Linked DNA regions of Rattus norvegicus. The protein of the gene in region 3 binds, or shares a complex with, the protein of the main gene of each other region. Links are inferred from orthologs where the notes say so. Each region holds a gene or a part of one and is shown on either strand. Other genes may lie near its edges.

The links. The genes of interacting proteins can lie anywhere in the genome.
Region 1: the proteins of Cckbr (region 3) and Gast are in contact, whole or in part, in a cryo-EM structure (PDB 7XOW), measured with the Homo sapiens proteins. The link is inferred for Rattus norvegicus from reciprocal best matches to the Homo sapiens genes CCKBR and GAST. Residues at the interface, in NP_795344.1 of Homo sapiens: Cys107, Pro114, Asn115, Gly118, Thr119, Phe120, Met134, Gly135, Val138, Tyr189, Gln204, Cys205, His207, Leu222, Val349, Tyr350, Ala352, Asn353, Arg356, Pro361, Ala363, His364, Leu367, Ser368, Ile372, His376, Tyr380; in NP_000796.1 of Homo sapiens: Glu85, Ala86, Tyr87, Gly88, Trp89, Met90, Asp91, Phe92.
Region 2: the proteins of Cckbr (region 3) and Gnai2 are in contact, whole or in part, in a cryo-EM structure (PDB 7F8V), measured with the Homo sapiens proteins. The link is inferred for Rattus norvegicus from reciprocal best matches to the Homo sapiens genes CCKBR and GNAI2. Residues at the interface, in NP_795344.1 of Homo sapiens: Thr87, Thr89, Arg152, Ala155, Ile156, Pro159, Leu160, Ala162, Arg163, Val164, Thr167, Ser169, Ile241, Gly248, Leu249, Lys328, Val331, Leu335, His394, Arg396; in NP_002061.1 of Homo sapiens: Glu28, Ala31, Arg32, Glu33, Val34, Lys193, Leu195, Thr220, Phe337, Thr341, Asp342, Ile344, Ile345, Asn348, Leu349, Lys350, Asp351, Cys352, Gly353, Leu354, Phe355.

The regions. Positions count from the first base shown.
Region 1 is NC_086028.1:85,763,832-85,768,297, reverse strand, and holds Gast (gastrin precursor), read right to left. Parts: upstream 3,083-4,466; 5' UTR 3,043-3,082; intron 2,891-3,042; exon of another isoform or gene 935-2,890; 5' UTR 930-934; coding exon 719-929; intron 608-718; coding exon 504-607; 3' UTR 418-503; downstream 1-417. UniProt on the Homo sapiens protein: Gastrin stimulates the stomach mucosa to produce and secrete hydrochloric acid and the pancreas to secrete its digestive enzymes. It also stimulates smooth muscle contraction and increases blood circulation and water secretion in the stomach and intestine.
Region 2 is NC_086026.1:117,184,541-117,188,826, reverse strand, and holds the start of Gnai2 (guanine nucleotide-binding protein G(i) subunit alpha-2), read left to right. Parts: upstream 1-1,204; 5' UTR 1,205-1,356; coding exon 1,357-1,474; intron 1,475-4,286. UniProt on the Homo sapiens protein: Guanine nucleotide-binding proteins (G proteins) are involved as modulators or transducers in various transmembrane signaling systems.
Region 3 is NC_086019.1:169,182,013-169,186,412, forward strand, and holds the start of Cckbr (gastrin/cholecystokinin type B receptor), read left to right. Parts: upstream 1-1,565; 5' UTR 1,566-1,600; coding exon 1,601-1,751; intron 1,752-1,960; exon of another isoform or gene 1,961-2,166; intron 2,167-2,273; exon of another isoform or gene 2,274-3,879; intron 3,880-4,400. UniProt on the Homo sapiens protein: Receptor for gastrin and cholecystokinin. The CCK-B receptors occur throughout the central nervous system where they modulate anxiety, analgesia, arousal, and neuroleptic activity.

The DNA.
Region 1 (4,466 bases), on a different chromosome or scaffold from region 3:
GGCTTTAGAATGGAGTCATGGCTTCATTATAAATGGAATGGACAGCCTTGGAAGGTTTAAACCTTCCTAGAGTCACACATTGTGTGTGTGTGTGTGTGTGTGTGTGTGTGTGTGTGTGTGTGTGTGTGTGATTAAATTAGGTTCTATGTGTCTAGGTGCATCCAAGGAAGTGAGAAGAGGGTTGGATTCCCTGGAACTGGACTTATAGGCAGCTGTAAGCCAGCTATATGTGACCTGGATACTGAATCAGAATTCTCTGAAAGAGCTGTAAAAGCTTAACTGCTTAACCTCTAACCATAACCCGAACCCAGGTAGATTCTTGATCAGTGCTACTCTTTGGTCTGCCTCTAAGGTGTACTCAGCTCTCCTTCCTGCCTCAACCCCTCTCCAGTCAAGTACACGACAGGACTCAGGGATACATTGCAAGCTAGTTTATTTTTAATATGTTTTGTAAGGACTGAGCTGGGGGTGGCTGGAGATGGCTGGGCTCTGGAAGAGCATTGCTAGTTATACTGGTCTTCTTCCTCAGCGCTACGGCGACCAAAGTCCATCCATCCGTATGCTTCCTCTTCTTCCTCCATTGGTGGCCTCTGTTTCTTGGACAGATCTAAGGAGGTGACAGGAGGTAAGAATGGAGAGAAGAAGGCCAAGTCTCAAGGAACTGTGGGATCAGTATGGGGGAACCATGGCCAAATCTGCCTGGGTCAGCAGTTACTACCTGCTATGAAGTGTTGCGGACCTTGGGGCCCCAGCTGTCTCCGATGGTGAGAGGCTGGGCCCAGCTTTTCTAGCTGGTGCTGTTCCAGGGCCCCATTGGTCCTTGGTCCAGAGGATGCATCCTGTAGCTGGGAGCGAGGTTTCCAAGAAGCTTCCGAGAAGGTAGCTAGAGCCAGCACTAAGACTAGCATGCACACACACAGTCGAGGCATCTTGTCTGAGAAGGGAAAAGAGCTGGGTTTCAAGATGGGGCTATTCCACAGTCCCAGAGGTAAAGGGCTAGACCGGATGGGCTCTAAGCTGCCTGGCTACACAAAGAGAGAGAGAGAGAGAGAGAGAGAGAGAGAGAGAGAGAGAGAGAGAGGGAGAGGGAGAGGGAGAGGGAGAGGGAGAGGGAGAGGGAGAGGGAGAGGGAGAGGGAGAGGGAGAGGGAGAGGGATCTGGTCTCAATGGAATAAGGTATAGAGCAACAGACTTCCTCTGATGTCCATATGGGCACTGGCATTGCCACCCAAATGTGTCACACACACACACACACACACACACAAGCACACAGCACACATGCATATGCACACACACACGATTTCAAATGCAAAAAACAATAGCCATAGAACAGTGTTTTTCCAGACTGCTCCGCCAGATGAGGCTAGGTCCAGTGACTCTTAGGTGACTCTTAGAGCTTAAAGGGAAATTTAAAATACAACGACAAAGATGCACGCACACTAAAGGGTGTTATAGATCATACACTGTCACTTGGAGACCATCAGCATGTCCATCGGGGGCTGGGCCACATGGTTGCTAGGCAACCTTGGAGGAGAGGCTCCACTGTGTTTAGCTGCTGAGCAGCCTGCAACTGCACTTATGCAGCTAAGGAAAAAAAAAAATTAACCCCAGCTTTTGCAGCTAAGCAGGAGGGTGAATGGAGTCTGGAGAAACTACAGCACGGACCTAAAGTGGAATGCCCAAGCAAACATCAAGTTCCAAACCTTACCTGTTCTTTGGACTTGATGTTTTCTGTTTTGTTTTTGCTTTTGCTCCTTTTTTTTTAAAAAAACTTTCCCCCATAAGAAAAATGTGTATTAAAATATATTAGAAGCTGGGCGTGGTGGCACATGCTTTTAATTCCAGCACTCAGGAGGCAGAGGCAGATGGATCTCTGAGTTCGAGGCCAGCCTGGTCTACAGAGCTAGTTCCAGGGCAGGCAGGGTGGTACTAGAAAAACCCTGTCTTGAAAAACAAAAACAAAAACGAAAACAAACAAACAGAAAAACCCTTTAAAACATTAGCTTTTTATGACAAAATTTTCAGACTAGATTTTCTGTGGGAGAGAAACATTTGTGGCTAATAAAGAAATGTTGAAAAATCGTAGCTGGATATGCTGGCTCCTGCTTCTATCTCAGTACTTGGGAGGCTGAGGCAGGAGTGCCTTATGTTTAAGACTCTGTGGGTGCTAGGCCAGTCTGGGCTAGAGCGATACCCTACCAAGAAGGATGACTGAAAAGAATAGGGGAAACAATGCTAGAGAGAGTCATTCTGTCCAATACGAGCCATACAGCTTGATAAATATGGCAGTCACTAGCTATTTGTGGCTCCTTACATTTGGATGAATTGCTATTCAATTTTTCTACCTTTGAATTAGCTGGGTGGTAAGTACCCATGTGGCTAGTGGCTGCCATGTAGGAAAGTATGGATTTAAAGCATTCTCGTTATCACAGGATGTTCCTTTAGATAGCCCTGGCCTAGGAAAGGGCTTGAGATGGGATCCAGAGCTGTGGGCTGCAGCCTTAGCACTGCCTACTAAAGTCTAGTAATTCCTAGCCTCTGGACCGTGGTTTTCTCATCTTAGCAATGGGGGAAAAGCCCTCGCTTGCTCACCTCCCTGACTGGCAGGAACCCCAGGATCATGACTGGGTCCTGAGTGAAGTGGTCCTGAGTGGGAATCAAGGACAACAGTGTGGCCTTAGAGCTGAGACTCAATTCCATTCTAGGCTAAGCAAAGGGCCCCATCTTTGGAGACACCGTGGCCTGGAGCCTTTATAGGAAGGGGGCTTGTCAATTCTTTTTTTTTTTTTTTTTTTTTTGGTTCTTTTTTTTCGGAGCTGGGGACCGAACCCAGAGCCTTGCGCTTCCTAGGTAAGGGCTCTACCACTGAGCTAAATCCCCAGCCCTGGGCTTGTCAATTCTAATCCCTATTGTCCCCTTCCCTTCCCTCCCCTTCCCTCCCCTTCCCTTCCCTTCCCTTCCCTTCCCTTCCCTTCCCTTCCTTTCCCTTCCATGCCCCTCCATGCCCTTCCATGCCCTTCTCCTCCCTTCCCAGTTTCTCACCTGCAGAGCTGGGGGAACGGTTAGCTGTTGTGGCAGTAGGTCAGCTCTGCTCTGCTCTGCATGCTGCTCCAGGCCTCCTTATATAGCCCTCTAGGTTCCTCCCAAACCCTCCTTCCAGGTGAGGCCAGACTCCCCACAGCGAGAGAAATGGGTGTGGAGCATAGGTCCAATCTGTCACCCTGTCACAGAGCTGTCAATCAATTAGTTATCCATTCAGGATTCGGGGAAAGGGAAGGGCTGGAACAGGGAGGGGGGCAGACAGGAGACAGACTCCCTTGGTTCCAGAGCAGCTCATTCTACTGTATCCCTTGGGCCACAGGCTTCCTAGTCTTCTATTGGACTGTCTCCCCTGGGGAGGGGTGGAGAGGAGAGCCAAGAGGAAGAACGAATGGGAACCAAATGACCTAAGATTCAGAGGTGCCCGTATGTTGATGTCTGAAGGGCAGGCAGTGTGCAAATGTAGGGTGATTTATTGATCCCTGTCCCCTCCATTGGGCTTTGCAAACAGGATATGTTGTAGTTATCAGGAGCAATGGGCCATGGGCTGATGGGCTCGCTCTTTCTGTTGAGAGCGTCATGTTGGTTGCTTTGGAACCTGTTAATGCTCCTGTTACCATGGAAAACCCTCAGCATCTCCTGTCTATGTCCTCTACGTTGGGCTGGATCTGCCCAACACTCTTGTACCCTCCTGCTGGGTTTGCGGCCTAATGAAACCGCTTGTCAGCCCCCTACCCGGAGCCCGTTCCTTGAGGGCCTTGCGTCTCAAGACTCTTCCATTTGGTTTTCAGGGGTAGATTGCGATTTGCATTAAGAATTCATAACTTCTCAACCAAAAAAGAATTGCGTCTTAAAATGGTTATTGAACAAAGGCATTTTTCAAAGATGTACCACGATAGAAAAATGATACTTCTCTTGGTTTATTTGATAAACTCCTTTCTGAATACCACATTCAGGCAAGGTTATAACAATCTCTGGGCCATTTTTTAATTTATTTTTATTTTTATTTATTTATTTTTTTTGTTCTTTTTTTCGGAGCTGGGGACCGAACCCAGGGCCTTGCGCTTCCTAGGTAAGCGCTCTACTACTGAGCTAAATCCCCAGCCCCTTAATTTATTTTTTTAATAACTGAGATGAGGCATTTGCTCTCATTCATGCGTCATTGGGCCCCCCTTTCCTGTCTCAAGGAGCTTCGATGTCCCTTGGGTCTTGGTTTGAGGGCAGTGGTACCCACGCTCGCAGCCAGCCTTGTTGATAATTAACAGGTGATGAAGGATGCAGGCTGCACTGTGACCATGGCAACCGGCACCCAAATGTTCTAGTGAGTAACCGCTCTAATCCAGAGCAGGACACGGTGACTCAGCAGATGGAAATAAGAAAAGAAAAGGGAGGAGAAAAAAAAAAAAGACAAAACAGCAGCACAGGCA
Region 2 (4,286 bases), on a different chromosome or scaffold from region 3:
AGGTACCCTGAGGGAACCACTGGATGAGCGCAGGCTAATGACTCCTCAACAGGGAAGACAGACATTCTGATGATTGAGACACACAGACACTCCAGAGTGAGCAAGCAAGTTGAAGGGTAGAAACTGGAACATTCTCTTCATCCAGGGAGTGCTGTATTAACAGGAGGCTATGACCAACTCTTGATGGCAATGTCCCTGTCTGCCTTTAGTCTGGGGCCGCTCAGAACACCTTACTGGGTAATGCTTGGAAAACACTTCAATCGTCCAATCGAAGTTGGGGGGCGGGAGGTAGGTCACAGGCCCCTGTTAAAAAGCAGATCACAATTTGAAGCATCTCCACTTCTACCTTCGCCCAACCTCAGGATTACAGCCACTATTCAGAAGAGACACTGGACTGAAGAAGCCTCTAGAAGCTGACCGAGGATGGAAGGAACAGATTTATAAATCATGCATCGTTTGTTTCCCTAAGTCCAATGGCAATTTCTCTTCCGTCTATCTCTCCCGCTAGAGTCCAGTTTCACTGGTCTTTGGGTGAAGCCCCCGACCACTGCTTGCAGGACGATGCTTCCCAACCTATCGGGCAAAAGAACTAAGTTTAGATGACAAAAGATAGTCCACTTAAAGGTGTAAAAGCGGCAGTGAACTGGTTTTTGTTTTTGACGTTGTTCAACCTAGACAGGAATGGGGAAAGAAGCTGCCTTAAAGAAAACCGAGGTCCAGAAAGACATCTTGTGCCCTCCGCGGAGTTTAGGAGATCTTTAAATAAGATTGGTTCACTTTTAAAAAGCAAGTGAAGAAGACACACCTCCTCCATCTTACTCTCATAATTCATAAATGCTGAGAGAGTCCTGGTTTCTATTCGGCCTGTGGCGAGGGCAGGTATTCCTGACCCTTGGGCTACTAGATCAACTGGTCCTTCAGTCCAGAAACAGAGCCCCAGGCTCTCAGCGTCCAATCGGAGACGAGCTCCTCCTGCAGCCCGCCCAGAGGCCTAAGCCTGTGTTAGCTCTACCCCTGGTGTCTTCCCTCGTTGCGGCCCCGCTCTCAGCCCAAGCCTAGACTGAGCTTAACTTCTCCCTTGGCTCCGCCCTCCAACCAATCACCAGTCCCAAATTTCTTTTGGCCCCTCCTCCAGACCCGCCCCGGCCCAGTCGCGAGCTTGGTTCGCCCGGGCCCCACCCCTGGCCCGCCCCGCCGTCGGTGCGCGGCGGCCGGGAAGGCGCCTCCCGCAGTCGCTCGGAACTGCGGACCTGAGAGCTTCCCGCAGAGGGCCGGCGGTGGGAGCGGAGTGGGTCGGGCGGGGCCGAGCCGGGCCGTGGGCCGTGTGGGGGCCAGGCCGGGCCGGCGGACGGCAGGATGGGCTGCACCGTGAGCGCCGAGGACAAGGCGGCAGCCGAGCGCTCTAAGATGATCGACAAGAACCTGCGGGAGGACGGCGAGAAGGCGGCACGGGAGGTGAAGTTGCTTCTGTTAGGTGAGGCAGCGCCCCGTTCTGGGACCCTTGACTCTCAACGCTAATCCCCAGAGAAGGACCTGAAACTACTCAGCCTAGCCTTGGACCCTACACCTGCGCTTGAAACCCCTAGGACCCACCCTTTTAAGATTCGAAACTCCGGATTGGTCTAGATTTATAATCCTAGTCCAGACTCTAGTTCAGACCCTCAACTCATCCCAGATCCCAGACACCAAACCTTGCATGGCTATCCCCCCCCACCCTTACTATCCAGTCTCAAGAGAACTTAACCCCTGCCTTTTAATTCCCCACTTTCTTAGGCTTTACTTAAACCCTCAGTACCCTACAGGTTCCCATCTTCAAGCCCTACCTGTTCTGTTTCTATTGGCATGAGCATTCCTTGGGACCCCTGTCAAGCCTCAACCCACTCCCTCTTTTCCTCACTCTGGAATCTGTATTCTCCCTCTGTGCACTCTGACCCCTTAAGAACCTCTTGAAGAGGGAAACTGACCACTCTCAAGTTCTCTGTAGCAGGATTCCCCTCAGGGCCTCTGTTCCAGGTCACCAGATATCTCTCTCTGCAGGTATCATCTGGCCCTCTTTTAAGTCTTTTCTCACACTCTGGCATTCCCTTGATCTGCACCCTCTTGCTCCAGGTGGACCTTGATAGGAGGGGAACCGGGGGGCTGGAGTGGGCCTAGACTGAGCTGGGCAGACCCTTTCCAAGAGGTTGGACCGAAGCTCTTAATAGTCACACTGGGGGAACGGGGCCAGGCCTCAAGCATCTGTGGGAAGTTCCGTTCTTTGGGAATGTGTTCCCTAGGTCCCAAGGCTTGTCTGGGCCAGGGCCAGGGGAGTCTGGGCAAGAGGAGGGAACATGGAGGAGTTAGGGTTGTAGCCACTTCCAAGGCCAAGGAAGATGGTGGCTGCTGGGATGGGGGGGAAGTGGAAGTAGTGAGCCAACCGACATATTGCTGCCCTCTATGCCTGTAGAGATCTGCTGACGGGTGCTGGGGTTCTCATACTCGGGGCTGAAACGCCTGAGATATGGCCTAGGATACTGAGTGGACCTGTTGGTTCCCTAAAGGAATACTGTGATGGAGAGTGGTGGGCAGGCTGAATGAGGGGCTAGTAGGAGTCAGCTGCCTGTAGCCCCGTGTGCTCTCAAGCATCCCAGTTAGGCTTTGGCAAAGGCAGTGGGCCTGATGCTGTGTCCAGACTCCCACTGGTAGTTAGAGTGGTTCCCTATGGGGGCCTGACTTGAGAAGATTGGGTCCTCTGGATTGTGGAGAGGAAGGCCCTAGCGGTAGCAGAAGCCGCGCAGCAGCGTAATCGGCTGGATAGTATGTGGGGGGGTGTGGCCCCTCAGCCCCAGGGCCGCCTTGGGGCCTGCATGTTGTGAAAAGCCTGGCTTTTTTGCCAGGCCTGTGGCCGAGAAACAACATGTATGTCTTTATGGATCCATCTGTTGACTGTCCCGGCGGACCCGGCCTGGGGGCACAGCCCCGGAGGTTTCAAAATGGCATCCGCTCCACTGCTGCCGCGGGGAGGAAGAGAAGGGGCGGGAAGGGGCGGCGGCCCAGCCTCCTGGGCTGCTTTGCGTTGGGCGCTTGCCTCTTCCTGTCTCTGCTGCGAGTGCGGCAAGCAGTGAGTGGGTGTCGACGCGGCGGCGGAATGTCCGTTACTGCTGGGCCTAGGGAGGGCACTTCCGGGATCGCTACGTCCCGGTGCCCAGCCGGGAGCCCCTTACCAGCCCCTCCCAGGTTTACTGCAGTTACTGTGGTGGCCAAAGAGATGTGGATCTGGACCAGAGAGCAGGGGGAAGGGGGTTGCACAGGACTCCTGGCCTGTTTTTCCTCTATGCTGACAGGCTTGTCCCTTAGAGCTCTGCTCAGCTTTTGGGCCAGGCTGTGTGGGACCGGGTATTCCTTCTTACTTAGCACTTTCTCACGGATCAGCCTATCCCAAGATCCTGTCCCTCTGGCCTTTCCTTCGTCTAAAATGAAATTCCTAGCTTGTGTCACAGGAGTACCCATGGCGAGACTAAGACCCTGCAAAAGGTGTGCAGCCAGGGAGCTCCGCCTGAAGTGGACAACCCAGTCTGCATGACCAGTCTGTCATTGCTACCTGGGAAGGGGTCTTGACTTGAATTAATCAACTTCCCATGAAGGAGTAAGGTGACACTGAGACCCTAGCTGTAGCAGTTTAGAAATTCTGAGCACCAGATCTACATAGCCAGAGACTCTGTCCAGGCAACGGGGACTTAAGCTGGAAAAGTGCCAATCTTCCCTCCCAGCCAGAACCACGCCTGCTGCCCCACCCGCACACTGTCTCCCTCCATACCCTGCATCCCTGCCAGAAGGCGGGCACAGTCACTGTCACCAGGGCTGAGGCAGATGTGGTACACACTGGCAAGCTAGTTTCCCCTGGCAGCTTGGCCGGACAACTAGAGAAGCTGATAGCAGTCTGACTGCAGGTCCGCCCCCTAGGGAATCCCCCACCCAGTTCAAGCAGACCGACTAGCTAAGCCCAGATAGATTTTGGGGGCTCTGGTGACAACCTGAACTGGACACACCAGGAGAAACCGTGTCCATTGTGGGCTCCACGAAGTCTCAAGAGTGTAGATGCTGCATTTGTCTTGCTGTAAGACTTTGTATTTTCCGTACTTAATTGTTCCTTAACATTCCATTGACGGATCTCCTCCCAGAACCCTTCCTGAGGTCCCACCAAGGCTAATGTGGCCTCTTTGCTCCCTGGGTTCCCAATTTCCCACTAGAGCATGGTTTTGGCCCTTGAGGCAACAAGTCAGAGCGGTGTCCTTTTCGTTGTGTGC
Region 3 (4,400 bases):
AAGCTACATCCATCTCCCTTCTCTCTTCCCCTGCATTTCCTTTGTCCCCTTGTTTCTCAATGCTACCATCATCCAATGTGGGAAAAGCTCATCGGATTATCAGAGATACCACCTGTGCTGGAGGTGAGCAAACAGCACATCGGGTTCCTCTGATCCTGGGCTCTCAGAAGAGCAGGGGTAACAGTGGATGATGACATCACAGGCTTAACCCCTCCTCCAGCGCTTCAGCCCTTATGAACTCTGCTGAGTGATCAGGTCCTTTCAAAACAGTCAGGATACTGATTCTGAATTCCCCATATATCCAGACTCCCCCACCCCCACCCCCAACTCTAATTCTCTCTTCCTCGTATCCCTCTCCACCCAACCTCTGATAGCCACTTTGGGATCTCAAAAGATATTTCACATTGCACCAGAATTTCTTTGGAATGGAGGAGACTGGTAGAAACAAGGCTGAAAAAGAAAAGGAGGCCAGTCCTGCCTAAGGAAGCAGAGTCCACTTGAGCCTTCTTGCACACCAGAGGCGCCTTCGACTTTGTTCCCTGCTCTCTCCTGCCACAACCCAGTGACCCAGTCCTCCCTTGGCCCCCTCTCATGGGAACCCAACACCCTACCCCGGTGCTGCACCTATGCTGACAGCAAATGGAGCATCGTCGTTTTAGGTGTGGGTGGACGCTGCCTAAAGACGAGGGACGCTGCCTGCTCCCTATCTTTCACCCTGGTCAGGGCGAGAACTAGAACCCATACCAGAACCCGTACCACACCTCAACTCAGTTCATTTAGAGCAGTTCTCACTTCAATTCCCGGTCGCCCTAGTTCACTCCAACCCTTTTCCTTGTCTTCTTTGCGACCCTCCAGGACCCTCTTTAGAGTCTTTGAAGAAGAAGCCTAGGTTTGGAGTTTCAGATAGGAGGTGGGATATGCCAAGGCAGAAGCTAATCCTCACCAAAGAGCTAAGGTAGCTGACACTGTGGCGATCACTGCGGCCACTGCGGCAGAACTCCGTAACTGCGGCTCCAAACGTACTAAGGCACCTGCTCTGTAGCAGGGGAGCCTGGTACGCAAAACCGGATCACCACCGCCATCACCACGTCATCTAAACCACCAAAGAAAGATGCTGGACTCCACAGTAGCTACTCACTCTCCCATCACCCCATCCCTCCGGCAGGCGCACGTGTAAACACACACACACACACACACACACACACACACACACACACACACACACACACACACACTCTTCCAGAACTAGGGGCATTGGTATAAGAGGTGGGCAGAAAAGGCATCTTTAAGAGAAGAAGGGAGAAACTAGCGCGGGGGCGAGCCTGGAGAGCAGTCACTCAGGAGCGCGCGCTGAACTCTGGAGCCGAGGAGGCGCGCCGAGAGTCACCTGGTGGGACAAAAAGCCGCCTAGAGCCTGGAACCGGCTGAGGTTAAGGGGAGGCTGGTGGGGGAGTGGAGGAGTTGGGGCCAGGGCAGGGGGCGGAAACTAGGAGGGGCGGGCGATGTGGTGGGCGGGAGCCTGAGCCACCAGCGCCGCGGGAGCAGGTGGAACCGGTGCTAGAGCTCGCTTAGCAGAGCTAAGTGGGACTTCACTGGAGCCATGGAGCTGCTCAAGCTGAACCGCAGCGTGCAGGGACCAGGACCCGGGTCGGGGTCTTCTTTGTGCCGCCCGGGTGTCTCCCTTCTCAACAGCAGTAGTGCCGGGAACCTCAGCTGTGAACCCCCTCGTATCCGCGGAACCGGGACCAGAGGTGGGTGCCTCCCTAAGCCCTTCTCACTGAACCCCACAGCATTATTCAAGAACCCTTCTGACCTCTATTCTGTCAGCTGCCCATAGTTTTCCTTTGTAGGACTTCCGCGACTCACACAGAGACCCCCCCCCCCCCTTCACACACTGCGCTCCCAAGCTCTCATAACTCCAACACCTTCCCATCATGGTTCAAAACCCCCGACTTCATACTTGCTCTGCCATAGCTACTCAGATCATCCCCGAGCTCAGCATCACACAGCCGGGAAACAAGGACCTCTTCTTGTCAGCAGGTCTAGCTTTCTTTTCCTTTAACATCCAGTTCACAGAGCCAGTACCAAGGAGAGAGAGCGACAGGAACCTCTGAATGAAGGGCAAAGGAGGGCTGGGCCGGTGAGGGCATAAGCTCTCTGGACTGCCTGAATGGGAGATAAGAGTTGTAATAGTCTCCCACCCCACCCCAACCTTTCCCAAGAAAAGAGGGCTACATTCAGATCTGAATTTAACCAGCACAAGGGAATGCTACCTTTCTTGTTCCATTTGTCCCCAAACTCTTCTGTTCCCAGGGTCAAGTCCTCCACCCATCTGCATGTCTTCTCTGTCACTCTGAAGGTCTCTGAGTCCCTTCCACAGCGCCCCAAGTATCCCTTTTCTCACTTGCCTAGAGCCAACTTCCCCTGGCAACAGTCACCCCATTCCTTTGTGTCACCTTCCCTTCCTACTGCTTTCCCTCATCCCGGCTGCAAATGACTCATTCCTCCCATCAGTAGCATCTTCATTGCTTCAATGAACATCTTAAAATGCATGTTCCCTTTCCATCCCCATATTTGTTTGCAATGTTTAATGAACATTTACTAGGCTTAGTGCTGGGAACACTGAACGAACTAGACACAGTCTGCAGTCTCAGCAGTCTGCAGCCAAGTACACAGGGACAGAGAAAATCACTGCCTAGAAATCCCACAGAGGGTCTGATTGGAATATGGACACACAAAGGAATTGGGGAGTCTAGTAACTTCACTGAGGGTGGAACCTGGGAGCTCGGGTTCAGTAAATGGAAAAGGAAGGAGTTGGATTCTATGTTCAAGAAGTAAACATTGTTAAATTATACCCTACGTATTTACTCAGCCCATGAAACAATTCATGCTTTCTCAGTTTGGCTTTTACCCACTGTCACTTACTCTTTCACTCAGGAAAGATTTATTGGACCAGAAACTGCTAGGCAACAAGGATACGCATTTAACAAAACTGACGAAAACCCTACTTCATGGAGCTCTGAGTTTATAGGGGAAACAGACAGTAAGCCAGGAATGGTAGCACAAAGAGAAGAAGCATTGTGGATATATAAAAGGGACATCTCCAGCCTACTCTGCCCTTGGGGATTAAGACGGGTTTCCTGGGGTATGGATGTGATCAAGTAGGGAAATATGACAGAGAACCAAGTGACAGAGCAGAAGAGGCATAAAATGTCTTAGAGAAAGATATCCTGTCTCAAAAGCTCAAAGTTTAAGGCTATAGCATGTCTGTTCAGTATAACACAGTTTTTGTATGCTGGAACATGTACCCTTGAAGGTTCCTAATAACAGTGTAAACCAACCTAGAGTGTGCTTGGGGAGCTTTATAGCTCTTGCTATAATGTGTAGATTTCCTCCTGAGGCATTGGGATCCACTAAATAGTGCTGCCAGGATTGATTGCATGGTGTTGAGATTCAGATAGAATGCAGAAAGATACTTTAGAAAGCTATTGCATTACACAAATCTGGCTGGAAGATGATGCTAGCACAGATGGAGAGGCTGGCAGTGAGGATGCAAAGAAGTGGACGGACCCAAGAGCGACTTCTGGAAACGGAGTCAACAGAACCTAAACATTGATTAGAAATAGAGAGGGTGGATGAAGTCAAGGGATGAGATCCAGTTTCTGGTTTAGGCAACTGAAAGGATGTGGATGGCATATCATAGAGAGACAACCAAGGAGGGGGACTAGACGTGCATTTCATATTACAGCACCTGCTTGCAACGGCAAGGCCCTACATTCAGCTCCTAATAACGAAGGAGCAGAAACAGTTTTGAAAGAGGGAATTATTATAAACTCAATTTGGAGCCCATAGAGTTCAAAAATTGATGGTTACTCACCAAAGCTGTTGAATCCTGAGATCTGGAACTTACCTTGGAGATCTGAGCTGGAAACATAGACTTGGCAAGTCTTCACCTTTGGGGGGGAGAACCAGAAACCATAGGAATTGGCAAAATACTTTTAAAAAATATTGTATAAAATGAGAGCAGGGAAGCTGAGCCAGGACCCTACAGAAGGCTGGCATTTAAAAGCAAGGCAGAGGAAAGAAGGTCCAGGAGGAGATGTAAGTGAAATAGAAACAGTAGCCGTGTCTTTGCAGAAAGTGAGAGAAGAGTCTTAGCTGAGGTCAGGTAAGGGATACTAATTATTGCTATGATGAATCAGAGATGAACAAAATATCCACACCGGGGTTGTTCATACACAATAACTACAGAGAGGGTGATGTGATACCAAGACCTGACTCAGAAGGAGGAGGACTGGGCCATGGAGAAGGGGTTGCAAGAAGTGAACAAGAGTAGTTAGCAAAATGTCCAAGGAGTGGGGGCATCAGGGAGAAAGAAAAATAGATCAGTGGTAGAAAAT